Ovis aries: one gene and its partners. Each later gene encodes a partner of the first gene's protein in a complex. Links are inferred from orthologs where the notes say so. Each region holds a gene or a part of one and is shown on either strand. Other genes may lie near its edges.

Evidence for each region.
Region 2: the proteins of RPS6KA1 (region 1) and SNTG1 are in contact, whole or in part, in a crystal structure (PDB 7PC8), measured with the Homo sapiens proteins. The link is inferred for Ovis aries from reciprocal best matches to the Homo sapiens genes RPS6KA1 and SNTG1. Residues at the interface, in NP_002944.2 of Homo sapiens: Arg728, Lys729, Leu730, Pro731, Thr733, Thr734, Leu735; in NP_001274742.1 of Homo sapiens: Gly67, Phe68, Gly69, Leu70, Ser71, Ile72, Lys73, Gly74, His78, Ile80, Ser85, His118, Glu119, Val122, Leu125, Arg126, Arg141.
Region 3: the proteins of RPS6KA1 (region 1) and S100B are in contact, whole or in part, in a crystal structure (PDB 5CSJ), measured with the Homo sapiens proteins. The link is inferred for Ovis aries from reciprocal best matches to the Homo sapiens genes RPS6KA1 and S100B. Residues at the interface, in NP_002944.2 of Homo sapiens: Ala697, Met698, Ala699, Ala700, Thr701, Ser703; in NP_006263.1 of Homo sapiens: Ser42, His43, Phe44, Leu45, Glu46, Ile48, Val53, Val57, Ala84.
Region 4: the proteins of RPS6KA1 (region 1) and MAGI1 are in contact, whole or in part, in a crystal structure (PDB 5N7F), measured with the Homo sapiens proteins. The link is inferred for Ovis aries from reciprocal best matches to the Homo sapiens genes RPS6KA1 and MAGI1. Residues at the interface, in NP_002944.2 of Homo sapiens: Pro731, Ser732, Thr733, Thr734, Leu735; in NP_001028229.1 of Homo sapiens: Arg480, Gly481, Phe482, Gly483, Phe484, Thr485, Val486, Val487, Gly488, Asp490, Lys499, Ser500, His532, Val536, Phe539, Gln540.
Region 5: the proteins of RPS6KA1 (region 1) and synaptojanin-2-binding protein are in contact, whole or in part, in a crystal structure (PDB 7P74), measured with the Homo sapiens proteins. The link is inferred for Ovis aries from reciprocal best matches to the Homo sapiens genes RPS6KA1 and SYNJ2BP. Residues at the interface, in NP_002944.2 of Homo sapiens: Pro731, Ser732, Thr733, Thr734, Leu735; in NP_060843.2 of Homo sapiens: Arg18, Gly22, Leu23, Gly24, Phe25, Asn26, Ile27, Val28, Gln33, Ser45, Arg46, His78, Val82, Phe85, Arg86.
Region 6: the proteins of RPS6KA1 (region 1) and SNTG2 are in contact, whole or in part, in a crystal structure (PDB 7QQL), measured with the Homo sapiens proteins. The link is inferred for Ovis aries from reciprocal best matches to the Homo sapiens genes RPS6KA1 and SNTG2. Residues at the interface, in NP_002944.2 of Homo sapiens: Pro731, Ser732, Thr733, Thr734, Leu735; in NP_061841.2 of Homo sapiens: Gly82, Gly83, Leu84, Gly85, Leu86, Ser87, Ile88, Lys89, Gly90, His94, Ser101, Lys102, Phe104, His134, Val138, Leu141, Arg142.

The regions. Positions count from the first base shown.
Region 1 is NC_056055.1:240,329,625-240,335,093, reverse strand, and holds the start of RPS6KA1 (ribosomal protein S6 kinase alpha-1), read left to right. Parts: upstream 1-1,917; 5' UTR 1,918-1,932; coding exon 1,933-2,148; intron 2,149-3,307; coding exon 3,308-3,352; intron 3,353-5,469. UniProt on the Homo sapiens protein: Serine/threonine-protein kinase that acts downstream of ERK (MAPK1/ERK2 and MAPK3/ERK1) signaling and mediates mitogenic and stress-induced activation of the transcription factors CREB1, ETV1/ER81 and NR4A1/NUR77, regulates translation through RPS6 and EIF4B phosphorylation, and mediates cellular proliferation, survival, and differentiation by modulating mTOR signaling and repressing pro-apoptotic function of BAD and DAPK1.
Region 2 is NC_056062.1:33,294,277-33,299,751, forward strand, and holds the start of SNTG1 (gamma-1-syntrophin), read left to right. Parts: upstream 1-1,754; 5' UTR 1,755-2,542; intron 2,543-5,475. UniProt on the Homo sapiens protein: Adapter protein that binds to and probably organizes the subcellular localization of a variety of proteins. May link various receptors to the actin cytoskeleton and the dystrophin glycoprotein complex.
Region 3 is NC_056054.1:267,004,155-267,008,002, reverse strand, and holds part of S100B (protein S100-B), read left to right. Parts: intron 1-44; exon of another isoform or gene 45-117; intron 118-539; coding exon 540-677; intron 678-3,496; coding exon 3,497-3,637; 3' UTR 3,638-3,848. UniProt on the Homo sapiens protein: Small zinc- and- and calcium-binding protein that is highly expressed in astrocytes and constitutes one of the most abundant soluble proteins in brain.
Region 4 is NC_056072.1:36,150,309-36,155,272, reverse strand, and holds the end of MAGI1 (membrane-associated guanylate kinase, WW and PDZ domain-containing protein 1), read right to left. Parts: intron 4,531-4,964; coding exon 3,776-4,530; 3' UTR 942-3,775; downstream 1-941. UniProt on the Homo sapiens protein: Plays a role in coupling actin fibers to cell junctions in endothelial cells, via its interaction with AMOTL2 and CDH5. May regulate acid-induced ASIC3 currents by modulating its expression at the cell surface.
Region 5 is NC_056064.1:26,356,415-26,360,898, reverse strand, and holds synaptojanin-2-binding protein, read left to right. Parts: upstream 1-2,099; 5' UTR 2,100-2,194; coding exon 2,195-2,632; 3' UTR 2,633-3,260; downstream 3,261-4,484. UniProt on the Homo sapiens protein: Regulates endocytosis of activin type 2 receptor kinases through the Ral/RALBP1-dependent pathway and may be involved in suppression of activin-induced signal transduction.
Region 6 is NC_056055.1:751,876-756,839, forward strand, and holds part of SNTG2 (gamma-2-syntrophin), read left to right. Parts: intron 1-380; coding exon 381-473; intron 474-1,387; coding exon 1,388-1,498; intron 1,499-4,964. UniProt on the Homo sapiens protein: Adapter protein that binds to and probably organizes the subcellular localization of a variety of proteins. May link various receptors to the actin cytoskeleton and the dystrophin glycoprotein complex.

The DNA of each region.
Region 1 (5,469 bases):
GAGTATTGCTCTCTGAGGAAGCGGGAGGAGAGAGTCTCCACCCTCTTAGGGGCCAGAAGGCCTTTCCTGTAGACTCATAGACGAGGTCTTCCATTCAGTATTCTGCAAGGTCAGTATCATTGTCCTCATTCATTCATTCAGCAAGTGTTTATTGAGCACTTACCATGCGGCAAGTACTTCTCCAACCAGCAGGGTGCCACTGTGAACAAGACAGACCTGCCCGCCTAGTACAGGTGAGGAGACCGAGGCTCGAGAAGTAATGTGACAGACACATTCAGAGCGAGTGGCTGGCAGAGCCGGCAGCAGGGGCTCTGTCTCTGTGGCTGCAGACCTGTGCTCTTTCCACCCTCTGTACAATAGTCAGTCCGGAAGGGCAGATGCGCCCTGTCTTCCCAGGACCCTGGCTTTCAAGGGGAAGGTCACCTGTGGTCCTCTCTGCACTCCTAGTGCTCTCGCTAGGGCCGCCCATTTCCCCCTAGAGACCTTGTGCATCAGCTCTTACAGGCCTGGGCGTTCCATGAGGATGGCACCCAAGCCAGACCCCGGGACTGGAGGCAGCCAGACAGGCTCCCTGAGTCCTCCAAGATACTGCCCTGTAAGCGCCCACCTCTGGGTTCACCCACCACCTCCTCCTGTCTCTCACTGGGGATTCACGTGACTCTGGGTCATAGCCCCATGTCTGTCACCTGCTAACAGAGAGGCCACAGTTAAGTCACTCAGCTCTTCTGAGCCTCATCTGAAAAATGGGAGGAATAGAACCTACTCTGGCCTCCTTGCTTGCTTTGCTGGTTTGAGGTTTCATTTGACAGGCTATGTGCCAGACCCTGAGCTGGGTGCCAAGGAGACAATACCGGACAAGCCGTGGCTCCTCCCTGAGTTAATCTGAGGTTTGCTCGGTGCTGTGAGGCCCAGAGGAGGGAGGAAAGGACTTAAGGCTGTATGGACAGAGGAGAAGACATTTAACCAGGTCCTCAAAGAAGACCAGGAGTGTGCTGGAGTGACTGGGCAGGAAAGACTTTCTTGGTAGAAGGAGCCACCGTGCGAATGCTTGGGGACAAGCTGGCCTGTTCAGGGTCTCAGCTTGTTCAGTTTAGCTCCAAAATCGGGATAGTAATAATGGTGATTGTTTGTGGACCAGTTATATGCAAGCTGTACTTTTTTTTTTTTTTTTATATTTATTTAGCTGTCCCAGGTCTTAGTTGTAGCACTTGGGATCTTTAGTTGTGGCATGTGGGATCTGACCAGGGATCCAACCTGGGCCCCCCTGCTTTGGGAGTGTAGAGTCTTGGCCCACTGGACCACCAGGGACGTCCCTGGATGTATCTATTTTATAGACACTATTTTGCTTGCTTCTTAAAGCTACCCAGTGAGGTACATTACTTTTATCCCCATTTCACAGATGAGGAAACTGAAGCTTTGAGAAATGCAGTAACCTCAGGGTTATGCAGGTGATAGAAACCAGAATTTGAACCCACAAGGTCAGATTCCAGAACCCACATTAATCACCTGTGGGAGCTGGAGATGACGGCTTTGAATGCCATACCAAGGAGCTGGGACTTTATCCCACAGGCAGTGGGAAGCCGTGGAAGAGTTTGAGGCCTGGCACCTAGAAAGTTCTCAGTAAGGAGTAAGTGAGTGACCAGGGGAGTCACTCAAATGTAATGGTTGCAGTTGAGTTTTAGGAAGGGTGAGGGCTTAGAATGGGGGAGGCTGGTGTGTAGGCCCTTGTTACCATCCAGAGTTATGTCAAGAGTCTGCAATGCTGGGTGAAGTGGAACTCCGTCTACGAAGGCCTCACGCCTCCTCCTCCCCTCAGGCCTGGTTCCACCCAGTCCTGCTCCCCAAGCTCCTGAGAGAGAACACGTATGGTGGAGCCTCAGAACGCTGGCCCCTGGGGAGGATTAGGGGCATTAAGGGGGTTCAAGGGGCAGGATGTCCAGGGACTGGCGGGGAGGGAGTGCTGCTCCAGGAGCAGGGAGATTATATAATGGGGAAAGCACAGCTGTGCCTGCTGCTGCCAACAAGACTGCAGCTGCCCTGTGGACTTGGCCCCTGGTCCAAAGTCCTGGGTCTTCCTGGTCTCTCCACACTCTTGCTGCACATGAGGGCTGGAGACCGCTCCGTTTAGCTTCCCAAGGCCCGGATGGGGTAGGTTACTCACTTCATATCACACAGGAAAGGGGTGGTATACCCAGGGTGGACAGCACCCAGCGGAGGGTGAAGTCTGGGGTCTGGAGGACTGTGCAGGGGTGAGCTGCCATGCCTGCATCTCTGTTGCCCTGGCTGGGCGCTGGGCTCCTCTTCCTCAGTCTCTTGAGCACCTCCTGGTGTCAGAGACCGGATTTTGAATCCCCGCTGAGCAGCATTGTGGCTTAGGTGCCGTCACTAGGCTTCTCTGCGCCTCAGTTTCTTTCTCTGCCAAATGGGACCCGGGCCTACCTCCCAGGTCAGGAGGGTTTAATGGTGCCACAGATGTGAGGTACCAAAGCCAGTGCCGGCGTGCAGCAGGGGCGCGGAAGAGAGCAGCTGTTAGCACCAAAAGCCTCATCTCTGCCTCCCAGGACTTCCCGTTTATTAGGAGGGGCTCCCAGGTAAAGAACCTGCCTGCCAATGCAGGAGACCTAAGAGACATGAGTTCAGTCCCTGGGTGGGAAGATTCCTGGAGAAGGGAATGGCAACCCACTCCAATACTCTTGTCTGGAGTAGCCTGGCAGGCTACAGTTCATGGGGTTGCGAAGAGTTGGACACAGTTGAAGTGACTTAGCACGCACGGCCCACGAGTCCGTAGTCCCTGCATTGTGATAAGTGGTAAAATGAAGGTTCATAGGGAGTAGCAGTGATTCTGCAAGGATGGAGAGGGGTCCCAGAGCAGGCAGGGCCAGAGCATTTCTGGGCTGGACACTCTCCCAGACTTTATGTCCTTCAGCCCTTGCATCAACTCTAGGAGGTGGATGTAAATACCCATGTTACGGATTGGGAAACTGAGGCCTCTTGAGTTGGTTAGTTGGCACACACCCACAGTCCTTTCCTTCTCACTGGGAGGAGATGGCATTTGAGCCGGACCTTCAAAGATGAGATGTTTTCTAGGCAGAGAACATGGGAGGGGTGCCCAAAGCGGGCTACCTGAGTTGGGGCGATTGCAGAAGGCTTGAGGCCTGTCCCCTCCCAGAACTCCCGCCCCCACCTCCAGGGCCCCTCTAGCCACTGGGAGCATCCAAGGGCTGGGGCGCCCCATAGGGTCTGTCTTTGCTTTGTGCCACTCTGGTAAGTTCTGACAGTGTTCCCCACTCTCTCCTCTCTTTTCCAGAATGGACAAGCCTCAGGGGAGGAAGCTGGGCTTCAGCCATCCAAGGTAAGGGCCAGGCCCTAGCACCGGAGCTAGGGATCGTCAGGGGTGGAGTGACTGTTTGCCTGGAGTGGACAAGGAAGGAGGCACTGACCTTGTCCCGCCCAGGTGTGAGGCCCCCTGGCCCAGCTCAGCCTTCCTTCTCTGAAAGTGAAAGTCACTCAGTCATATCCCACTCTTTGCAACCCCGTGGACTATACAGTCCATGGGATTCTCCAGGCCAGAATACTAGAGTGGGTAGCCGTTCCCTTCTCCAAGGGATCTCCCCAACCCAGGGATTGAACTGCGTGTTGAAGGTGGATTCTTTACCATCTGAGCCACCAGGGAAGCCCAAGTCCTTCTCTGGGCCCACCTAATGCTCGAGGCAGCCCCGTATGTCAGGATTACTTGCTTCAGCCTTCCGGTTCCTCAGGGGAGTGGACTATGGCCCAGACAGGGTCAGAAGCCAGGCTAGAACTCAGGTTTACCCGTCCCCCAGACCAGGACGCTTCCTCTGCTTATTTACTCGTGGTGGCTTGGCTGACTGTATTAAGAGGGTGAAGGGGTGATGGGAGAGGCTTAAGTCCACTGGGCCTGACGAGGGCATGGCACCTGGTGCTGGAGGGAGCCTGGTGGCCTCCAGTCACACCAGGGCCCAGTGCCTGGCGTGGGGCACACAGGCCGTTTCTCAGGCCCCCTCCCAGGCCGGCTCCCTCAGCTCTACGCTCTCTGCTCCCCTTGGGTCTATCCCTTCAGCCCCCAGGGCCTGTTGCTGGTTTTGTGTGTTGACAGCACTATGAGGCTGGGGGACAGTCTGGCCTGGGCTTTCTCATCGCCGTGCTGGGAATGGCCTCACCCAGTTCTCAAGGCGTTGTGAGGTCGCAGAGCTGCTGGCTGGGGAGGGGCTGTGGAAGCCACCAGGCAGGACAGGGCCTGAGTTCTGGCGGTAGAGCCTACCTGAGTTCTGGTCCTGCCTCCACCATCGCCATTTGACCTGAAGCTTCTCCCTTCTGAGTCTGGTTTCCTCAGCAGTAAAATGGGAATAATGGTACCTGCCTCCTACCTCTCAGGAGTGACGTGAAGAACAGATAGAAGAGCAGCTGCCTGGCACACAGTAGCTTTAGTCCTGGCAGCCTGAGTGCCTGGCCGTGTTGCTCAGCTCCATTGCCTGTTAGTGGCCGCGCCCTTCTGGCCTGGGTCTGCTTAGGTACCAGACCATAAGCCTGACCTTTGAGATAGACTGAGGGCTGGTCCTGATGTTTGTCTTGACTCAGCCTCCTAAGATAAGGGAGCCGAGTTTCCTGGGGTAGGGCAGGCCAACAGAAGTAGGCTCCCACCCCTCCTCTTTTTGTTACTATGGCAACCTTGGGTCACCAAAGGCCAGGCCGAGTCATGTGGACTGAGCCCCTTGACTTGTCTCAGCCCCATGTCTCAGCCTCCTGTGGGAGAATCTCTTCCCACCAAGTAGCTGCTCCTGGTTGCCTAGTAATGAAGGGACTGTAGGTCTCCAGTGAAGGTCCAGATGTTCAGATCTTGGGGCTGTAGTTCTAGGGGTTGCAAAGGTGCCTGCAGCTTTGAGGGAACTGGTGGTGAGTACAGCTTCTCACCTCAGAGCTAGAGGGGCTGGTTAAGAGAAGACAAGCACTTACCCAGGTGGACAAACTACTCTTGATCCCAAGTCTGTGATTCCTTCCTGCTTCTGGAGCAGATCCTGGGGTGGGAAGGGAGATGAAGCTGGACGTGGATGGGGCAGGGAGAGCCTTGAATGCTACGTTAAGGGAGAGAAAGTGCCATACCAGGAGCTTTGCATTTGGTTCTCATAACATCCCCAGAGGTAGAAACTGTTACTCTCCCCATTTTACAGATGAGAAAGTTGAGGCCCTAGGTCAGATCGCTAATGGGCAATGAAGTCAGGTCTTGCTTGACCACAGAACCCACATTCCTCCCAGCCCAGGAGACACACTGAGTGCTGAAGAGGAGGAGCACTGCGTCCCCGTGAGCACAGTTTCCGTCATTACTCGGCACCTGCTCGTTCACCTTCTCTGTTGCTGCAGAATCTTGTAGCATCCCCAGTGCCCACTTTTGGGCTCAACACACCAGGGGGCGCTCAGCCTGTGGTCAGAACCTCATCGCTTTGTGCAGTG
Region 2 (5,475 bases), on another chromosome or scaffold:
TCTGCTTTCACACGGACCCTAAAGCAAAACACACGCTTCCACATTCGCCCCAAGTAACAACATTCTGAGTGGCTTTGTGGGTCTAGTGAAGGCGGGGTGGCTCCATCTGACGCGGTGTGAGAGCTCCCTCCGTACCTGCCACCGGCGCCCCAGTCACCAGCGCCCCTGGTTAAAGGCCCGATAGAGGGCGGGCGACGTGCCCCTTCCCACCGAACGAGCAGGCTCCCCAGCGCAGCTCAGCGGGTACTGGAGGCCTGTAGTGAGTCGGACCCTCGCCCGTCGCCGCGTCCCCCTCAACCCGCCTCCCCCGCGCGTCTCCAGCCCCAGCGCCCCACGCGCCCTCGCGGGAACCCGCTCGAGCCCAGGCGGCGGAGAGGTGGCTCAAAGTCTAAGGAAACCGTGGACTTCCCGGGGTGAATAACGAGCCTGTCTGATTTCCATCCCAGATGATCCCCGGTCCAGTTCCGTTTAGCCTTGAGGGAACCAACCGGAGCCGCGTTGGCTGCCGCCTCCCACGCCGTCCCCCACCCCCAGGTCCTGGGGGAGCCCCCTGGACGCGCGGCGCCAGCCCCTTGGCTCGGATATCCCGCGCCGGCGTGGAGGACCGCGCTGCGTCCACGACTCCCTCTGCTGTCGGCATCCGGCACGAGGACTCTGAACGCCGGGCCGCGAGGAGGGCCTGGGACCCGAGTCAGGAAATTCGCGTTTATCTCCAGCGCCCTCACTCCACACCTGGTCCTTCCCTCTTGAGTTCCCTCCCAGGTCTCCAACAATCTCCGGGCGCGGAAAATGACACTCGTAATCTCAGTGCCTGGAGAGGTGCCCAGTGGTACGACCCTCAACCCCAGCTACACTTTCCCTTTTTTCTATGAGTCCTTGGTCGTAATTTTGATCAGCTCTCTAGCAGTTCCAACGTAGTGAATTTCGGTCCTCCGCCTCACCCCACGCGCGTCCGCACCGGGTGCCGAATGTGGGCGGCGGAGCCCTCGGTGGCCGTCCCGGGGACCCGTGCGCCGCCCCTCCTGGTGCGGGGGTCGGCAGCTGTGAGAGCCAGTGCCGCGGGCAGAGGTGGGGTCTGCGCGCCGCGGGGGCGAGGGGTCGGCGAGGCCTGGGGGCAGCGAGCAGAAGCAGGCTAAAGAGCGGAAACCCGAGCCGGGACCTGCCGGCTGCGCCGCGTTCCGGCATTAGAAGGGTGGGGACGGCCGATCTTTCCCGCTGACTTTATCGTCCCCCGTTCGGTCCTTGAGAGACCGCCTCCCCCGCTGCCCTGCAGGGCCCGGGGCTGCGGACGCGCGCCAACCCGGCCTCGGGGAAGGAGCCTGCGCCCGGCGCGCATCGCTGCCTCCCCGGCTCGGAGCCCCGCGCTCACGCGTCCGCGTCCCGCCCGACCCCCTCCCAGCGGCTCGGCAAGGATTTCCAGCCAGTTCAGCAACGCTTTACAAGGTATCGCGGCCTTTTCTTTCTTTCTTTTTCTTTTCTCATTTTCTGTGTTTTCATTGAACAGTAACCTGTCGTTTCTGCTCGGTGCTGTGTCTAACCTGGGAATTTCACAAGGCGCTTCTCAGAATCTAAACGCCCCCCACCCACCATGGGTGATGGAGATTGAGGAGTCTTCCGAAATAGCCCTTTCCATCTTATGTAATTAGAGACCCACAGAAGCGCTGGATTTTCCACGGTACATAATCTATATTTATTCTCTCTCCCCGCCTCCTTCTCTCGTGCGCGCGTGTGCGCGCGCGTGTGCGTGCGCTCCCGTTCATTTCTAGCATCAGGAAACTCGTTCGCGGCCACTGAAAAGTCAGGAGAGGCTCACAACTGATTTCCCACGGATTTCTGCTTCCAACGGCAGATGCTGTCCGGAAGCGGTGCCCCCAGACTAACATGAGACCGTTATCTTGGAAAGCCGGTTAGCCCTGCCGCGTAAGAAGCGCCGGGGGAGGCGAGCCTGAAAGAACAGCTAACCGATCGCGTTCGCCGGTGGGGAAAAGTGCGGCGCGGGGCCGGGCCTGGGGTTCGGGCCCGCACTTCAGCACCGGCGGGGATGGACAGCGTCTTTGGACCGGGCCACAGCCGGGACCCCACTGCGCCGCCACGGTCCTCGCTGCCGCCGTCGTCGCCGAAGGCAGCCCGGCTCCCAGCCAGGAGCAGCTAAGGGGCTTCGTCTCCGATGCCCCGGCACCCCCCTGGCCGGCCGTGACAGACCGAAAGGGACCTTCTTCTGCCTGCTGCGACCCCTGCGCAGGGCTCAGAGAAGCTCACCTGATCCGCAGATTAAACTCGGCAGCAACTTCCAGGAAAATTGTCGACAGGGGCCGGAGGAGCACCGGCGGCCCAGAGAGGCCGAAGTTGTCCGGCCTCTGGAAACCATGGGCTCCGCAGACTGGGTCCGAGCGCTCTGAGGAGGCCCGCGCTGCTCCAAATAAACAGGATGCTCCCGAGCGGGCTGCACCTGTTTTGGAAATAGCTTTTCGAGAGGAGCTTCTAGACCTACTCCCAACCTGGCGTTAGAGAAACTGGAAGATTCTAATTCCTTACTCGGCCGGTAAGTGATAATACTATTATTACTGCTTGTTTGTAACTCAAGTGACGACCCCCCCCCCCCACCGCAAGATTTTAACAGAAAGATTAAAACAGTATTATTTTTTCCTTGTGGATTAAGATGATAAACAGTTTGATTTTTAAATGGTTGTTCCTGTGTAATGATCTTTGGGAAAATCTTGCCTAGTAAAGTAGTTGGATGTTTTACTTATCTGAAGTCCTTTAGGTGACAAGAATATTAAAAATGATATGTGTGTGTGTGTAAGCCTATATAAATATAGTAAAATTTTAGTCGGATATTTTTATTGATGATCTAGTATCTTTTTGAATCTGTGTCCCTGTTTTCCCCCGAAAGAATACAATGTGGCATCTTGTAAGTTTTTTTTTTCCTCTTGGTGTTATGCATGTAGTTTAAAGTGATCCTGTTTGTATTACATAGTATGCAAGACTCAAAAAGTTACTAGTAGTGATGGTTTCACCATCTGGTCTATTATATTTTATATGAATATAATGTGCCAAACTGTACACTCGGTCTCTCTCTCTACCCCAATCCAGAGTGTGCTTACACTTGTGGATCTTAACCTACAGAAATACACACATTTTTATGCAGTGTTGTCTTTCTAGCCTTCTAAAGACTGCTTACTCAAACCAGATCTGCCAGAAGGCAGAAAATGAGAAGCTATAGTGTGCCTTTTTAGGAGAACAGGTTTCCAAAGCATTCTTAGTCCTATGAAAATGCATTTGTCACTGAAATCCACAAAGTGGTGGGGGGCCAAGAGTTTTTGGACGAACCGTAAGCTTTAAAGTGTTTATGAACTCTATTTTCTGTTGACTCTTACTTCTGTAGCTTTAGAACTGCAATCTTTCGCAGTGACCTTGATGAGCATTCTGCTTTAAGAAAAGGGCTTCACAGGGTAAAGGCACAGATTTATAGCCCACGCCTGACATTTCACTAAGGGCTCGCTGGGTTCCACCAAGCACATCCAGTTAGTGGAGAGCAGGGCTTGGCAGGAATGACTCTGACAACCCTGTGAACACATGTGATGCTGTGAGCACGACCAGCCCTGTGGGGAGAGTTGGCCCTTTTGAAAAAGCACAGTTCTTCAGGTTCTCCTCTGAATTTCATAGGGCATCTATAATCGATCATAAAATACATATCCATACTGCCCTGTTTTTCAATTTCATCACTCAAATCCTTGAAGGCAGTTAAGATGGCATTGGCCAGTATGCTGAAGGGCCCTTGTTTTGCGTTGACTGAGAACAGAAACTGCACTCTAGGGACAAATTGTTCTTAACTGTCACTTGCCACTTACCACAAACCTGCTTACTTAGCAGAAAGGGAGAGTGGTGTCGGCGTCATGGAGCTCCTTGGGGGCTCTATTGCCCTATATGGGTCAGAAACGGCAATCTCAGGAGGAAAAATGCACTATTGATTTGGAATCCTTGCCAGGAGACCTGCGGTGTGCCCCTGACAAACCTGCTTTTGTGTGTTTGTTTTTTCCCCCTAATCTGGAAGATATGAACATGAAATTGTTACATATACTAATTAGTCATGTTTGAAGAGAGTTGCAGCCTGTTGCTAGACCCTGAGTGTGGTTGTCAGTTAATAGCACAGACAGACTGCCTGGTCAGCAGAGCATAAGATGGAAGCAGGCCTGTGGGCACGTGGCCGCAGTTACCTTCTCAGTGGCAGAGGGGGCAGGCTTTCTCCATGTGTGACAGAAACAGCACAAAGTAAAAGTTATCCTGGGCTCATCCCTTTAGAGATTCAATCACAGATATAAAGAACTGATTCACCCTTCCAAGCCCAGGCAAGCTGCCTGGAAGCTCTCCTTATCTGTGGGGAAATGCCATTGCATTGAGACAGCATTTTGTAAACCAATTTAGTGCCTATGTAAATTATAATCTCTAACTGCCCCCAGTCTCCCTGACTCCACAAAAGGAGTGGGTGGGCTAATGCAATCATACTACTGTTTGCACAGAATCCCTTATCTATAAAAAGAAATCAATACTTAATTATAGGACATCCATATCCTATTAAAACAGCTCTTTTTCCTGATGTTTTTTTGGTCTGTTACCAAAAAAGGATGCATGAAGTTTGAGAAGTATCAGACACAGTACTCAACATCCCGTCTCAGAGGAAGGAGTTCTGTTGGTGGGGGTCAGTGTTTTTGTGTTGCTTCTACTTGAGACTCAGAGGAGAAAAGTGAAGTAGAATTGCATAATGAGGACAATGGAAAGTGTATATAGGAACACAGGATGATTTGAAATGAGTTCTGGAATCTGGTAAGTTACTTTTCTTCTTTTAACAAGAAATGGTCTGCGTGAGAGTGGGACAGAGATTTCTGGCTTGAACCTTTATGTTATACAAATATTATAGAAACACTTATCAGTCAGTATTATTATTTAGACCATCTAATTATTAACACACGACTGAGCCACTTCACTTCACTTCAGTGTGATTATTGACCATCAGATCCTATTGGATTGGAAGGTCCACAGTTTGCCTTTGAAATTGCTTGCTTGGGTTTGAACCAAGTTATATACATGTTTACAAAAAATGTAAAAGAAGAGATGATTATTTTGGAATTTAAGAAGTCCCTCAATAATTGATTGTTATTTTCATACTGATTAAAAGATTCTAGGCAAGAAATCTGGTTATTCACTCAATTCTATTAAGAAGGCAAAAGCCACTGAAGAAAAGTGTATCCTAAGCCAGATATTATTTCTAGAGTTATCTCACCTCCAGTGAGTCATAGACTGGCACACAAGTGGAGAGACCTCTCATTTTTATTTTCTTCCTGTTTAGCTTGGCAGAATGAGTTGTGCACGGCATGCATGGAAAGAGACAGCACCCTGCAGCATGAAGTGTGTTATACATCATCATATAGCAGGACAAGACTTGCTTGGCAGTCAGGACATGCGGATTCTTGGCAT
Region 3 (3,848 bases), on another chromosome or scaffold:
TATTTGGCTCCTGTTCACCGTAATTAATTCAAAACCTTGGGACTTCCCTGGTGGTCCAGTGGCTAAGACTCTGTACTCCCAATGCAGGGGGCCCAGGTTCAATCCCTGGCCAGGGAACTAGATCCCACATGCCATAACTAAGAGTCTTCATGCAGCAACTAAGACCCCGGCACAGCCAAATAAATACATTAAAAAAAAAAAATTCAAAACCTTGCTCCCCTGCACTGTCACCTCATCTTGCAGTCCTGCCAGGACGGGGTGGGGAGTCTTCTAGAGATGGGGGAGGACTCAATCCCCTTCACTGCTCTTCCCCTGTATTTTGGTTGAAGTTTCCCCCAAATGCAACCAGAAGCCAGAGGGCTTGGGAACAGAAGACAGAGAAGGGAGGGGTGGCAGGGAGCAGGTTCAAGGGGTGATGAAAAGCCACACCCTCTATGCCCAAAAGGGGAGGTGAGCCAAAGCCAGTTGCCCCCGATGGTAAGGTCGGTGTAGGTAACAGCTGATCTGTTCTACAAAGCATCTTTTTTTGTGGGCCCCAGATGTCTGAGTTAGAGAAGGCCATGGTGGCCCTCATTGACGTCTTCCATCAATATTCCGGGAGGGAAGGTGACAAGCACAAGCTGAAGAAATCAGAACTGAAGGAGCTCATCAACAATGAACTTTCCCATTTTTTAGAGGTGAGTCTTGCTTTTTAAAACTAAACTAACCTGCTCTCCTGTCCCCTTGTAAGACCATCTGTCCATTTTCTCTTCTGAGCTGCCCTGAACATGGCTCCAGGTTGGTGTCAGGACTCCTCTGTTGTTTCTGAAAATGTGTTTGCACAAGTGAGCCCTCAGTACAGAGGCTGGCTTAGGTGGGCCCCACAATTTTCATTTTGTGTACAGTAAGAGCATCAAGGAAAAACTACTGTCTCAAACGCAAGAGTACAGGTTCTTGGAAAAACCTAAGGATATACAGCAATAGGGTGGCTTCCCCATTGGCCTAGTGGTAAAGAATTCTGCCTGCAATGCAGGCGCTGCAGCAGATGCAGGTTCAGTCCCAGGGTCAGGAGGATCCCCTGGAGGAGGGCATGGCAACCCACTCCAGTATTCTTGCCTAGAGAATCCCATGAACAGAGGACCCTGGCAGGCTACAGTCCATGGGTCACAGAGAGTCAGACACAACTGTAGCGACTAAGCATGTACAACAATAACAATGACAAAGTGGGATGGAAACTATACCATGGCTTATCACACGCTGAACATGCAAGAAGACTGTTAAAAATAAGCTTTTGCTCTTGGGAAGAGGACTGTTTTGGCTTTCTCTACATGGTTAGATCCATCACAGTGAGAAGATGCCAGGTATTACTGAGCTCTCAGCATAGTCGATGCTGGGAGAGATGCAGACCCCAGGACCTGGCTCATCACCAAGAGGCCACAAGCTGCTCACGAGAGAAGCCCTGGGGCCTTGCAGGGGCCCTGTGGGGTGAGGTGCCCTGGCGGGAACTTGGGAAGCTGCATGAGGACATCTGATGAGCCCCACTGCTCTGGCAGCTCCCTTCTGGTGGATGTGTGTCCAGATGCTCTGCTGAGGACTCACTTCCCCACTCACAACCTTCACTGCCCTTGGCTCAGCCACATGTCATCTCTGCTGTATCTGTATTGTGTATTCAAGGCAATGAACTGCAGTCCACCTGGTACCTAATATTCCCTTGGTGCCCAGAACCGAGATTACTGAAGTGATCTTGCACCCAGAGGAAATGGCCATACAGTGCACCAGTGCACTCATGTCTGACCAGGAGGTAATTCCTGGGAAGACACGAGAGCCCAGCCCACGTGGTGGTGGGAGCTGTCCTCCTGGGCAGGCTGGACCTTGGTGCAGGACGAGCCACAGGCTCCGTGCCCTGAGTCTGCAGGGCTCTCCCCACCCAAACACTCCACGGCTGCAGATGGCACCACCATGAGAGGAAGTGGCCTGCAGACTTCAGGGGGCATTCCCTAGTCTGATTCTGAAGCTGGTTTTCCCAGGCACCCAAGTTCTCAGCGTGGTAACTGCCTGCTCACACTTTTACTTACCTTGTTTCCTGCCACCTCACCTAAGAATCAGAAGGTCCTGGATTCTTCTGTGAAAAGAATTGTTGCAGTGAGACATTGCTTATCAAGTGCAGCTCAACAAATGTAGCTACTGTCATTAATTATTGATTTAAAACAGAGAAAAAGCTTAGCATGTGGGAAACACAGTTTATAAAATAAAAGTGAATCATGGTAAGTATATTAAGGTATCATGAACATTGTTGGCCTGGTTTTTATGAAGTAGTTTCTGTTTGGAGGCAAATCTTTCCTGTAATTGAAATTAATCTTTTAGCAGATGTTTATAGGTGCCACCCAACCCCTCACGGGAACCTCAGTCTTTTACATGTTCTATGTCTGAGGCAGCCATTGTGCATTATACTCGACTTCTTCAGGCCAAGCGCTCCTGCCCTGAGGACTGGGTGTTCGGAAGAGTCAGTGGTATTATACTCCTCTTCAGCTCGTGTGCACGTCTTTCCTGTTCTGTCTCTGTCCTCTGTCTCACCACTCGCTTGACTCCATGTTGGGCATAATGTCAAGAAGAGTCCCAGATACCTCGAAAGCAGCTCAAGTGCCAAAAGACATAAGAAGTTAATAAATTTAGGGCGTGTTCCCGAGAGTTATTTCAGCCAGAAACTACTTTCAAAACCTGAAAATCCACTGGAAGCCTTCACTGTAGGGTCTTCCACATGCAGAAACAATGAAAAACTTACAGGAGCCAAAAGTTCATTTTTGCTTTCAAGGCATTTGCATATAATGTGCTCAGGCTAATCTAGACTGTACTCTTCCTTTCTGTTTTTTTTTTTTTTTTAACACAAACAGCCTGCAGTTTTTCAGATCCTGGCTGTTCCATTCAGTCTTTTAGTAGCAAGATCCCACTGCACCTAAAGGAAAGTGGAAGAGAAGGCTTAGACCCCTAGAGACCTCTGCCAACCAACAGCCTCCTGGTCACTGGAAAAACCCTTTCTGGAATTTTGCATTCATGTCTTAGGTTGTTTCTAAGTTAATAATAATAATTATTATTATTATTATTTTTGCTCTGGAAATTGTTTTTCAGCTGTGCCATGTCTTCTTTGCTTCACAGGGCTGCTCTCTAGTTGCCGCAAGCAGGGGCTTCTCATTGCTGTGGCTTCTCCCGTTGTGGAGCACAAGCTCTTGGGCACGTGGGCTCGGCACGTGGGCACTGTGGTTCCTGGGCTCTAGAGCACGGGCTCAGTAGTTGTGGTGCAGGGGCTTAGTTGCTCTGAGGCACGTGGGATCCTCCTAGATCAGGGATCGAACCCATGTCTCCAGCATTTGCAGGTGGATTCTTTACCCCCGAGCCACCAGGGAAGCCATTAGGTTGCTTCTAATATAAAATTATTAAAGCCAGCCAACTTCTGATCTTGTCTTTGTGGCCCTAATGTTCATTTAGAAGCAAGCTGGACAACCTGTCTTATCTCTCTCAGGAAATCAAAGAGCAGGAGGTTGTGGACAAAGTCATGGAGACACTGGACAGTGATGGGGACGGCGAATGTGACTTCCAGGAATTTATGGCTTTCGTTGCCATGGTTACCACTGCCTGCCACGAGTTCTTCGAACATGAATAAGGAAGAGAAAGCAGCGGAGCTGTTTCTGCAGCAGAGACGAAGTTTGACCAGGGGAACGGAGGCAGGGCTTGCAAGGCCGTAGGAGCTGAGCTTTCCGTGCTGTAGCTAATTAGGAAGCTTGATTTGCTTTGTGAGGGAACAATTGAAACCTCTTTCCAAGGACCATTTTTAGTGCCCCCAGCCTTCTGCATTACTTGGCGTAGTGTTAGCT
Region 4 (4,964 bases), on another chromosome or scaffold:
TAAGTCATATGAAGGAACAATGCCAAAACTGTAAGCAAATTGGAAAGGATTACAAACTACATGTCAACCAGAATACATGCAGAGTCACTCACTGACTGGTTAGCTTTTTCATCGAGTTAAAAGTATGTCTAACTTCACATACATCTCTATCACCAAAAGATAAGTTTTGAGGCTATTTTCATCTTAACTTTCACAGCATGGCATTTTGGATTCCTATTTTAAAACACTGGTCACTGTAATTTTTATACTTGTGAAGTAGTATGAACCACATTGTTTGCTAACTTTACAATTAAAATAGAAGGTCTTCTTCCCCATTTTAATCGAGAAAATACTTCTTCGTTTTGATTGGAAAATAAACCAGGACAATAAAAAGGAGTAGAATACTGATTGGAATGCAGAAAATTCTCCTCAAAAAAAAAAAAAAAGTTTAGTGTTATTCACTGAGAATTTTTCTGATTGCCAGAGGTGTGCTAATCACTTTGCATTTCCTTTCACCAACTCTATGACATCTGCCCTTTCAAAGATGAGGAAACTGATTCTTTAAAAGAGGTTAAGGAACTGGCCCAGTATTACACTGTTAGGAGGCATAGCAGGCTGTGCTTTATCACCAGGGTTCCGTGCAACACCATGCAGCTCAAACTTTCATGTGTATTCATATCAGATGGTGATCTTGCTAAAGGCACATTCTGACTCAGCAGGTCAAGAGTGGGGCTTGAAACTTTGCATTTCTAATATGCTCTCCAGTGATGAGATGGCAGTTGGTCTACAGGCTGGATTTTGAGTATCAAGGCACTATATTACTGAAAGACCATCATCTCTTCCCTTTGAACAAAATGGTATGATAGTTCATTGCATTGGGAGCCAGACACTCTTACTTGGTGACGTGACCCTGATATACTTGAGACAACACAGAGACAAGAAAGATATCAATCCAGAAGCAATCGTGGTTATGGAATGCATACATTTCCATGTATTTTTACAGTAAAAATGCATTAAAAAATCTTTCACAAAAGAAACTTAAAAAATACAAGTAGGGTGTTAAGTCCTCCCCGCAACATTCTTTCAGGCATCAACTGTCTCATGGGTGGGAGGGGAGTTCCTAAAGGGTTTGATTTAATCATACAAAATACTCATTCATATCATCTCTCATCAAGACATTTACATGAAGTGGGGAACTAGGGAAAGTAGGCTCAAAAGAATCAGTCTCCAATTTAAGGTTACAGTAGTTCAGAGAAAAACTCTATCTTTCTGCTTAATGTATAGTCCCTGTAAAGTATGATATTTTCAAAGTATGAAACTCAGATGGCACTGCCACACTAAAAGTCTTCACGGATAAAGCCAAGCCCAGGTGGGTAGCACATAGATTTTAACATGTCAAACATCTCTGACAACAAGAAAGACACTGAGATGTTAATTTCACGATCCACTCCAAAAATCCACCTCTTGATTTCATTTATTTAAAACTCTGGACCACAACTGAGAGCATCGATCATTAAACATCATGGATTTGGCTAGAATGGGTGAGAGAACTCCTAGCAATGGAGCCTTAGGAATAAAATCCCCAGTTGGCTCTTAGGAAATTGATGAAAAAAGAACATCATTATTCAGTTGCGTTCTCCCTCACCATACTACTGTAGCTCAATATATGCTCTGTATGGAAAACTCTGAAGATAAAAATAGCAGTCTCAGACTTTTTCCTCTTTTTTAGCTATAGAATGTACATTGTGTCTGTTCCAGGAAATGAACTTGGTTTGTGCATATCCACAGAAGGACAGCTACTCATTGTAATGTTGTATAAACCCATAAGTCAAATAAAGCTATGAACAATGTAATATTTATATATGCATAGTGTTTTATAAAAAGATTGGCCCACATACTGCTTTTCATCAATACAGAAAGAGCATTAAGTCCACAGCACACTGCAAGAAATGAATGAAGAACAGAAATGCAAACAAGTGCTTAATAATTCACAAGCAGGCTCACCATGGAGGAAATGATGATATTCAAACCAACTAAAGCTTTAGAGAATTACTTATATAGTCTCCCATTTTTAAAACAGCTTTACATACCTGATTTAGTTTACAGTAAAATATATCCCAATGAATCAATTTGTTCCATATTCAGAAATATAAACACATGTCACATTCCTCACAGCTAATTTTTTTGTCATAAATTCTCTTTTATACAAGAAAAAAAGGCAACAGTTGTTTGTTTTTAAAACAGGCTCTATTAATTACAATTTTTAACTCTGTACACAAGATAATTGGCTGGTTTTCTCCATTTTTTTTCTTTATCCTTTTTTTTTTTTTTAAACAGTACCATGAGAACAACAGTGATTGACTTGCAAAGTTTGGTGTCTGTATGGAAAATGCAAAACAGTACTACGGAAATATGCAATGCATCATAAGCAGCGATTTGTTGTAGTGGTCCAACAGGTACAAGCAAAGGTTTTGGCTCAGCTAGGCAGTAATTCATTTCAACCACAACCCGGGGCTATAGCCGACCCAACCAACCTCCTGTGAGATAGCAAAAGAATGTCTTCTATTAAAGAAAAATTTCTATATTTTGTTCTGCCCAAAGATTAAAAGGACAGGGTCATAAGTGCAGATGTTTGTCAACCAGATCTAGAACCAATGAAATAGAATTCTTCTCTCTCTTTCAACCATTTTGGAGATTTTTATTACGGTTCCAAAGAAAACTGGCATTTCTAAGAATGAGCATGCCCAACCCTCATGTCTTTAAATATCAACAGAGAAGTTCCTTCTACCAAGGCTTACTCCCTCCTCCCCAATTTGGCAAAGGGCAACCACAGGCTCATGATAAAAAGGGAAACTTTCTATACTAGTGATTCTTAGGGCTCCTCACACCGCCACCAAGTCTCCCATGCCATTTACTCTTCAGTCTTAAATCAGGCAAGACAACACCAAAGGTGTTTGCTGTGCATTCCTTCTAGCAGTTGAGCAAAACTTTCATGGCACTGCCTTAATGAGATTCTCATTCAATGTTGGTGATGCTAATACCTGACCATCTGTGCGTGGGCTGCATTTAGGTAACGGTGACCAACCTTCTCCTCTCTGCACCTTTCTATAGCCAGGGAGAGTACAAACTGTGTTCTGAATGGAGAATAACTTGAGAACATAACATTTCTTTGTGCTTTGTGCTGTGTCCTTTAGCTATAAATATCCTTCATTTGCAACAGTAGTCTCTTCATACAGTTTGCTTAACTTTAGGATCATCAGTAATCCTCATTTATTCCAAGGAGTCCTTAGCTTTTACAAATATAACTTTTGCCTTTTTGCTTTTATAAAAAAAAAACACACCTAACTACACTACAACACTACATCAGTACATAACAGTCTCCATCAAATTAATTAAATTTGATCAATAATTTTCCTTACTTAGAGAAAATGATCAACAGCCCCAATTAACCAGGAGAGAAAATGATCACCCCCACCCCCAAAGGGAACAATTCTTAACAATTCTACAGTTTATGTAGAAACAAAATTTATATCCCTTGGGGGAAGCATTTAGCAAATAATTTCCCAAAAAAGTATGCATTTAAAAATACTTTCTTTAATATGATACATCAGGCACACCACTTTTCATATATATATTTTTTTCTTATAAGATTTCAAATGCATCAAATGTCGCTAGTCAGAGGATCATCAGGCTGACGTCAGATGTTTCATTAGGTAAGAAACTAAATGATTTCAGGTTTGTGAGCTTCCTCTTCGAACCTTTGACATGGTAAAGGCTGGGAATGTGACGCAGGCTCTCAGATACTGAGGTCGGTGCTGCATTCTTTGTAAGGTCTTCTCCGCTGCTCCGGGGGATGTCTGGAACTCCGGCCGGCGTCCTGTCTTAGACTCGTCTCGTCCCTCTCCCGGTGGCTGCCTCTGTCCTCTTTGTTCCTTTTCTCCAGGGACCGCTCTCTCCTGCGCTCGGGGGACTTGGTCCGCCTCCGGTCGGTGGATTTGGCTCTCCTTTCGGGCGAGCTTCCTCTCTTGCGCTCGGGCGATCTTCTCTGATCCAAGAGTCTCTCCAGAGACCGCCGCCGCCGGCCTGGAGAGCCGTCCCTCCGGCGGGTCGGGGACCGCTCTCGCCTCCACTCCGGGGAAACCTCCTTCCTCTTCTCCTGCTTCTCCCTTCTCTCCAAAGTGTTGTCAGCGCTGCGCGTGCCTTCCCTCCGCTTCTCCAGAGACCTCCTCTTGGGGCCATTGGTCACCATCCGCTCGGGTTGGGCGTCTCTTCGTCCCTCGGGTGCCCGGTCCTTGGGTCGGCAAGCCCCACTGTCGGGTTTTCTAGAAGTTCCGTTCCATGTGTGATGTTCATTGGGTTGTCTGCTATACTCTCTGCTGCCTTTGGGATCTCTCATGTGTGCCCGCTTTTCCCCATGTGGTGATGATTTGTGAAGATCGGGTGGGTAACTGGACTCCAATGATGGATGCTGTCGGCGGTCAGGGGGCCCAGCCCTCATTTCCGGAACACCTTGTGGACCGGTGGGGGGGCCGTTCCCGTCGCTGCTGGGGTCTGCCAGGAAGAGAAACGAGAGCAACAGTTTGGTATCAAGGACCTTGGCTCCTGTCCCCACCCGCCCTCTTGAGACCCCATTAGTCACAACAAGCAAACAACTGTTAAAAGCAGTCAGAATCAAAGCCAAACTGACTCTTAGTTAATTTAAGTATAACTCCAACTAGCCATGGTTAAAAACTGGTACTTGTGGCTTTTGGCAGCGAGCCTACCATCTTTGTACTCATACAGATCATTCAACTTGTAACATCAGTCATGAGTTTAGTTATTAAAGGAATAGCCCAAGTAATCTGTCTAGAAGTATCAAAAGGCCCTCCCCCTTAGTATCTCCTGTTCTTTTTTCCCCCAGCCATCACCCTTCCTCCCTGACATCTCCCCCCACCCCATGACAGAAAATATTCCTTTGTTTAAAGATTGTTTTAATTTGCTTACAA
Region 5 (4,484 bases), on another chromosome or scaffold:
ACCAAGTGGAATCTTTCTCTTCGCCCCTGGGAATGTCCCACTTTTAGACAAGAATAGACTTTTTCTATTCCTTTCCTCCATTCGACATCAGTAGAAGTTTCAAATATCATAAAACTGATTTGGCTGTAACTGGAGAAATGCTACCAAAACAATATGAAACCAAAAACCTAAAGGGTAAACCAAAAACCCTAAATAAACCCTCAAGTCTGGTCTTGGGGTTTAACAGATACCAATGACACGGGAGACCACACGTGATATAATTAACAAAGCAAAGACAGCAGTACATGGTACACAGGGTCCCAGGATAACCCCACATAATGAACCCCTTGAGGAGATCCTAGCAGGTACTGGGGCCATACATTTTCAACTTCTTAGTCATGGTTTCATAGCTGTAATCAGACCACTTATCCAAAATACGCCTCTGAGGACTTTCTTCAGGCATAGTTGAAATATTTCCCTTTTTTTTTTTTTTGGCCACACTACATGGCTTTCAGGATTTCAGCTCCTCAACAAGGGACTGAACTGGGCCACAGCAGTGAAAGTATCAAATCCTAACCACTAGATCACCATGGAACTCCCCATTCCCCATTTTTCTTCAAGACATAAATACAAGACAGACAAACAGCACACACAAATGTCAGCATCCAAATAAACAAACCAATTCACACAAATTGCATAAAAGTCCATCAACTATGTCCTCTTATCCTCTTTCCAACATGGTGCCCTACTCAAATGTGCTTCCCAGGTGGCGCTAGTGGTAAAGAGTCTGCCTGCCAATGCAGGAGATGCAAGAGACGAGTGTTCGGTCCCTGGGTCGGGAAGATCCCCTGGAGTAGGAAATGGCAACCCACTCCAGCATTCTTGCCTGAAAAATTCCATGGACAAGAGGAGCCTATAGTGGGCTCTACAAAGTGGGCTCTACAGTCCATGGCATCGCTCAGACACGACTGAGCACACACACACGCTCCACTCAAATACAAATTGTCTTATTCTAAAGGAAAGAAGCCCTAAATGGAGAAGAAATAAGATCTCCAGTTGTTACATGGAGTGACTTACCTACTGCATGAGATGTTGATTCCTTGCTCCACCCGCTAAGAGCTGGGACAGCCAGAGAAGCTTCAGGGAATTTTAAGGGGAAGATCCTCAGGACGAGTGGTCCGGGCAGCTGCTAGGGCCTTACCCCCAAAATCCCCCAACCAGAGCTGGCTGGCCATGAGCAGCAAGACTGGCTGCTCATACTGCTTTGCCATATAATAGGTCAATAAATCAAGTGACAAGTTGTTGGGGTAAGGAATGGCAGCCTGAGAAGATGGCAGACTTGTGTCCTTATGAACCATCTTCCTTGAGTTAGAATCCAGGCTTCTTTTAACACTGAAAGAGGAGGGAGTAAGGCCCTGGTTCTGGCCAGACTCCAGGAGGGATTTCCTCCTGCCTTCAGTCTTTCACAGATGGGCCTGGTCAGGAAGATGCTTCCTCGTGAGCTAAACGAAGGTATTTTAGCTTAGTGTTCATTACCTGGGTGACAAGTGTCCCAGAGATGGTCCATTATGGGTAATTTAAGCTTAGAGGCAACATCCCGTTAGTGATTAACTTGTAGAAGAACACAAAGGTTCTTCTCCCTCTTATAGTCACACAAGTAGATTGGCAACGACGCCTGAGACTTACAGTCAGCTTTATTGATCATGGACACCTGTGTTCGTTTTACAGGCCACAGAACCGTTTCACATTCACCATTTTGGGGTCTCCTTTCTCGTCCTGTAAGGTCCTTCATAACCTTACATTGAGGGTCCACACAGCTTTTCCATTTCCCCACACACCCTTGAAACCTCAGCTCCTCCTGGTAATGCCTTTTCATTGCTCATTTTAGACTTCAGTCGCCCAGAAAGAATCTCATTGGCACAGCTCACCTCCTTGCACATGGCTGATATGGGTACCGGCTCTAAAATCTGCACTGCTGCTCATTCCACAACCTCTGGACGAAGGCTGGGCCAAGGACTGTTGTGATAAATGCAGCTATTTATTCAAACATTAATAGGCACCGACAGGTTTCCCTGCACAGGGCCAGATGCTCTGGTTAGAGAGATGAATAAGCCATGGCCGAAAGTGCGGTGTTGTGGCTGCTGCCGGTAGTGCTTCTCACCTTCAACCTGCACCGATCCTCGCTGACCCCGGTCGGGAAGCCAGAGATTAAAATATGAACGGAAGAGTGGATTACTTGATTACCGAGGAAGAGATCAATCTCACCAGAGGACCGTCAGGGCTGGGCTTCAACATCGTCGGTGGGACAGATCAGCAGTATGTCTCCGACAACAGTGGCATCTTCGTCAGCCGCATCAAAGAGAACGGGGCTGCAGCCCTGGATGGGCGGCTCCAGGAGGGTGATAAGATCCTCTCGGTCAACGGCCAAGACCTAAAGAACCTGCTGCACCAGGATGCTGTGGACCCCTTCCGTAATGCAGGCTATGCTGTGTCCCTGAGAGTGCAGCACAGGTTACAGGTGCAGAATGGGCCCATAGGACCTCAAGGCGAAGGGGAGCCAAGTGGTATTCCCATAACTATGGTGCTGGTGCCAGTGTTTGCCCTCACCATGGTAGCAGCCTGGGCCTTCATGAGATACCGGCAACGACTTTGAAAAACTTGCTTTCTTCCTGTGCTCCCAAAGAAGAAGATACATTTCTCTTTTTCTCTCACCCTCTCCTGCCAGTCTTCCATAACTTTTCCCTCTACATAGCCAGCTCATGATTTCAAGAGACTGCTACCCAACCAGAATCTTGCTATTTGAAATCTCTGAATCCTCATTTTCTCATGGGAGAGTAAAGGCAGTGTCTGAAGGAAACCCGAAAGAAGGACTTGCCTAGAACAAACGAAGAGTTATATATTTTACTAGAACCGCCAATAGAAGTTCAGCTACAACCCAAAAAATGGGAAAGGTCCAGTCTTCCCATCACCCTGCAGTATTCCTTTTTTTCTTACCTGGCATGCATCAAAGGCCAGCTGTAATAAGAGGAAAAAAGGATTTTTCTCTTTAATGATCTTCCTTGGGAAGTTTTTGTGGCCTTTTATTTAATTTCTAACTATTAATACCTACTTGGGCACCTACTTTGTATCAAACAAAGATGATTGAGAAGAACATTTCTACTTTTTAAAACAAACATATATATATATATACACACACGCACACACACATATATATACGTACATATTCATGTATGATATTATAATAGTGATGCCTTATGGAGAATTAAAGAAGTGGAAAGCAACTCCGGTTTCTAGGTTTCTGCTATAAGGATTAAGTGATAGTCTTCAATAGAAGAATTCAGTATGTAGCAAGAGTAATAGAGTGAGGCTTAAAAGAGGATAGCAATCTGAGTCATTTAAAAAAACGAAAACTAAAGCAACTAATTAAGAATCTTAAAAAAAAAAAAAAAATAAGCCATGGCCCCAAGGAGGAGGAAGACACCTCACAGGTGACAAGCAGAAGCTGTGGGTAGGGTCCCGTGTCACTTAGCTTCTTCGCACTGCAAGAGTCAGATTCACGAGCGAGGTCTCCTGTAGGTTTTCACATAGACTGGGACAGCCCGGAAAACTGTCAGCACCCACGGCAGCCCAGGGACTGACCGCTGCTGCCTTTGCCCTGGGCTCCTCTCACGCCTGCTTTTTCTATCTCGTACGTCCTCTTCCTACTGTGTGGTCTCTGCTGTCCCGTGTCTTCCACCTCATCTCACCCCTAGTCTTGGCCCCACATCAGCCTTGACCTCTCTCCAGAGGCAGCCAATTCAGGCTTTGCTGCCTGATGCCATGAGGCTGTGGGTGCAGGCATAGAAAGGTGCTGGAATGGGCCAAAGATGCCCCCCTTTACCCAGGGTGGTGGGCATGGCCACACGACCAGTGCCATCCATCACTTACCAACCCAGCCCACCTCCTAGATATCTAGTTACCAGGACACCCTGTCATGAGTCCATTCTCACAGCCACAGTTGAAGATGCATTACACCCTTCCAGCCAGGATTGAAACGTCTCACTTCCAAGACTGATGGTGACAAGGGCCCTTCGAAAAAGCTCTCCACCTCGGAGTCCAGTGTCCTCAGGCTTACATTCAACCTCCTCCGGGTGTGGTTTCTGTCCGTTTTCCAAACCATGGGCTAACTCCTCAGTTTAAGTACCATCACTACATCATGTATAAACAATACAGCTCTCTCTCTCTCACACACACATAGACGTCATGTAAGACACATAAAGGGGCAGACCCACACTTGGACCAACAACCTGCATGTAGGAGAGTAGCCTGGGGTGAAGGGACAGTGAGTAGGAATCGTAATCCCAAACCTGGGATTGAAGCCTGGGTCACTGGCCCCAGACATCTCTCATGTTCTCCAGGAGAGGGCTTTACTGCAGAGTCTCAGAGGGGTGGTAACTTACGGGTGGAGATCTTGCTCACACCAGTGAATCCCAGGGGCATCTCCTGCAGAGTCAGCACATCAGAAA
Region 6 (4,964 bases), about 240 Mb from region 1:
GGGTGTCTCCGGAGGACGCGTCGGGCTCCACTTTGCTAAGACCGGCACCTCTGCTGACGGTGTGGCTTCTGCACCTGCCGGCGGACCCGCGCGGGAGGCGCCGTGAGAGCCGTGTCCCAGGGACCTCCGAGCGCTTCACTCTTCTAAAAGCAGGTTTGGATGGGGGCAAATAGTGTGAGTGTAGGCATCCGTCACTCAGGCGTGCCCGACTTGGCGACCCCATGGACTGAGCCCACCAGGCTCCTGTCTCCCTGAGATTTTCCAGGCAAGGGTACTGGAGTGGGCTGCCGTTTCCTTCTGCAGAGGATACTGTAGCCACCCGATCAATGTGAAGCTTCATTTTAAAAAGATATTTTCTCACAATTGATCCTTTTTCCTAGTCCAAAACGTACGCGTGCGGCGGGCAAGGGGACACTCTGTGCTTCACGGTGGACTTCGCTCTCGGATTCACCTGTTTCGACAGCAAGACCAAGGTATGTGCCGAGCAGCCAGGGGCGGTGCCGGTGGGCAGAGCATGCGTTACATTTCAGGGCTGTGATGCCCGTCCACGGCTGCGGCACCACCAGCCCTACGGCCGTGTCCTCTGCACGGGCTCCTTCGTGGTGACCCTCTCTCTGAGAGCTCAGGGCCCCAGCACCTCACAGGTCCAGAGCCGGACGGGGCTGCCACCACATCAGCCAACAGGAGCCAGTCAGTGTGACCGTGACATCCATGCCCAATAAATAACAAGGACTTCCTTCTAAGGACCACTGTGGACCCTTTAGCTGATGAGCGGGGAGTGTCCACTTTCACGCGCGAGCCTTGGCGGTCTTTCATGATTCTGTGTAGATCACGATTCTGCAGGTGGTTCCTAGAAAGTTTCCACCGCTGAGTTTTTCCTTTTCCTAGTCAAATCTGACCCGACATTGAGTGATGTTCTCAGAGCAGTTTGCTCAGCGACATAGGTAACCCAGCAGGTGTGTGTGTACACAGATAACTGAGCAGGTGTGTGTGTACACAGGTAACCCAACAGGCATCTGTGCACACAGGTAACCCAGCAGGCGTGTGTGACACAGATAACTGAGCAGGCGTGTGTGTACACAGATAACCCAACAGGCATCTGTGCACACAGGTAACCCAGCAGGCATGTGTGACACAGATAACCGAGCAGGCGTCAGTGACACAGGTAACCGAGCAGGCGTCTGTGCACACGGATAACCCAGCAGGCGTGTGTGACACAGGAAACCAAGCAGAAATCTGTGTACCAAGGTAACCCAGCAGGCATCTCTGCACACAGGTAACCCAGCAGGCGTCTGCATTTGCTCAGGTTATTTAACAACACTGGCTGATGTTAACTGAATAAACGTGCTCCTGGGTCTAGAGCACTAAGGACTGCCTTCCTTCACAGAGTGTGCTCTGGAGGTTTAAGTTCTGCCAGCTGAAGGGGTCTTCCGACGACGGGAAAGCTCGGGTGAAGCTGCTGTTTCAGAGTCTGGACACCAAGCAGATCGAGATGAAGGTAGGGACTCGTCCACGGTGCAGCCTCGCCTGAGTGAACCGGGTGTCCGGGGCTGGGCGTGCCGTTCCCCTGGCATGTGGAATCACCGGAATGCAAGTGTGAACCCTCCTCGGAGTCAGCCAGGGTGTCATGGGAACCCAGGGTGTGTCTCCTGTTAGAGGCCTTAATATCCTAAAACTGTAGTCATTGAAACCCATTACTTGATTCCACCAAAAAGCACAAGTTTCTTAGTAAATATTAGCAGGAAATCCACGGTTAAACATACAGAAGTCAGCTTTTAAGGGAAGAGTTATGCAAATTGCACTATGTGATGACTTACCTGCGATACTAAGGACACACTGCTCTGTGAATTCAAAGGATCTGGACATAACAAGTAATGTGGAGAGAGGGGAGGTGCACCCACCCCCATCCAGGTCAGAGCCCAGCATCACCTGGCCTGGGGACACGGCCCTGGCCGCCCTGAGGCTGCTCTGCCAACCGCTGGGTGGGAGAGGCCCGGAGCTGACTGGGAGCTGACCGGACGCTGTCCTTCCCCCACGGCCTTTGGTGCAACGCAGGCTGCTGAGGGTGTGCAGGGCACCCCTGCTGCCTCCACCCGGCTGCGCGGGCCTGGCCCATGTTGCCACACCTCCCCACAAGGAGCCACTCAGGGAATTTTCTGAACTCTGCCAGCCTGTCGTCAGTGCCTTGGGAGCGCTTACACCACAGCCCCCAGCAGCGCTGCGGCTCGGAGCAGAGCTGGGTTACGAAGCCCCCGAGTGGAAGACCCACACCTGACCCCTGGTGGGCCTGTCTCCACCCCAGACGTGCGAGCCTTCGTATTATGAGAACCAGAAAGTGGTTGTGCCCTGATGTGAGTTCTCGGAGAACAAGACATAGGAAACTGTCCTGTGCACGGTTATTCCTGGAGAGTGTTACGTTTAGTTGTATTTGTTTGGGACATTTTCAGAGGAAAATTACACAGGATATTCATTTACATTAGGCATTCATCATTTATTTAACAGTCATCTCTTTCAAGTATAGCTTTGCTCAGTTTCCACGTTTAATTCTTTGGGAAAGACAGTGGTTAAGGCTTCCTTTGAAATACAGTTTGTATTCACTGTGGACAGTGACTGTAGCCATGAAATTAAAAGACGCTTGCTCCTTGGAAGAAAAGCTGTGACCAACCTAGACAGCACATTAAAAAGCAGAGATGTCACTTTGTCAACAAATGTCTGTCTTGTCAAAGCTATGGTTTTTCCAGTAGTCATGTACAGATATGAGATTTGAACTGTAAAGAAGGTTAAGTGCTGAAGAATTCACACTTATGAACTGTGGTGCTGGAGAAGACTCTTGAGAGTCCCTTGGACTGCAAGGAGATCCAACCAGTCAATCTTAAAGGAAATCAGTCCTGAATATTCATTGAAAAGCCTGATGTTGAAGCTGAAAGTACTTTGGCCACCTGATGCGAAGAGCTGACTGATTAGAAAAGATCCTGATGCTGGGAGGAATTGGGGACAGCAGGAGAAGGGGATGACAGAGGATGAGGGGGTTTGATGGCATCACCCACTCGATGGGCGTGAGTTTGAGCACGCTTCGGGACTTGGTGGTGGACAGGGACGCCTGGCGTGCTGCAGCCCACGGGTGTGCAAGGAACTGGCCCCGACTGAGGGGCTGAGCAGCAGCAAAGTGTGGGTTCCCGCAGCAGTGGAAGCTCTGCTCTTAGTTACAGAGGACTTTAGAGCCCTCCTCGGGCTTCCCTGGTGGCTCAGAGGGTAAAGCGTCTGCCTGCGATGCGAGAGACCTGGGTTCGATCCCTGAGTGGGGAAGATCCCCTGGAGAAGGAAATGGCAACCCTCTCCAGTATTCTTGCCTGGAAAATTCCATGGACAGAGGAGCCTTGTAGGCTACAGTCCGTTGGATCTCAAGGAGTCGGACACGACTGAGCGACTTCACTTCTTCACTGCTTCAGGCGTCGGGCCATTAGATAATGCTCTGGGAGAGCTAAGAGCCCAGGGCGGCCGCTGCTCTTCAGAAGGCCCTCTGCTGTCTCACGACATTTTCTGATGAACATCCGCTGTGTGTGCCATGAGAGGGTAACGCGGGTGGCTCCATGAAGAAGTGCGATTTCCAGAGGAGATTTACGGAGGCCGCGCAGGCGACGTTCACACTCATACATTGATTGAAAGCATCACCCTTGTGAGAGATGCAGCATTCCCGAGAGTGAGGCTCGTGAGAGAAGGAGTGTTTCCTCAAGTTCAGGAACCTAGTTCTTTGTAGTCTGACAGCTCAGTGCAGACCCGCTCGGCTTCCTGAGAGTTTTACCTAATTAAGGAAAAGATCAAGGTATTAAAACATTCAGAAGCTGGTAATTAGACTAAGCTGCAGATCATATTTAAACTCAGTATTTCAGCCTCAATGAAACATTAAAGGAGTTTAATAAAAACCTAGGTCCTTAGGATGAATGAATTGCAGAGGAGAGTACCTGGACGGCGGGGTTAGAGCAGGGGCTGAGCCTGACACTCACGCGCTGGCCACCAGGTCCCTGCCTGGATGGCAGGGTTAGAGTAGGGGCTGAGCCTGACACTTGCATGCTGGCTGCCAGCTCCCTGCCTGGGCAACAGAGTTAGAGCAGGGGCTGAGCCCGGCCGCTGGCTCCCTGCCTGGATGGCAGGGTTAGAGCAGGGGCTGAGTCTGACACTTGTGTGCTGGGCGGCAGGGTTAGAGCAGCGGCTGAGCCCGGATGCCAGCTCCCTGCCTGGAGCAGGGTTAGAGCAAGGGCTGAGTTCGACACTTGCATGCCCAGCCGCCTGCTCCCTGCCTGGATGGCAGGGTTAGAGCAGGGGCTGAGCCCGGCTGTCAGCTCGCTGTGGGAGCTGCCTGAACGCAGAAGCAGCACACGCGCATGCAAACATGTGCACACATGTGCACGCATGTGCCTGGATGCCTGCAGCACTGTGTGCACGAGCACACAGGAGCACATATACACAGACACGTGAACACACATATGCAGACACATGCACACATACACGCAGACACGTACACACATACATGCAGACACGTGCACACATATACACGTGCACACGTGCACACATACATGCAAACATTCACGTGCACACATACACAGACACGTGCACACATACACATAGAAACGTGCACACATACACGCATGCAGACACGTGCACACAGATACAAGTGGACACGTGCACACATACGCACAGACACATGCACACCTACACGCAGACACATGCACACCTACATGTGGACACACACGCAGACATGTGCACACATACACGCAGACACGTACACACATACACGCACACAGGCACGTGCACACATACACGCAGACACGTGCACACACATTCATGTGCACACATACATGGAAACACATGCACACACACGCAGACACGTGCACACATACACACAGACAGGTGCACACATACACGCAGACACATGCACACCTACATGCAGACACATACACGCAGAC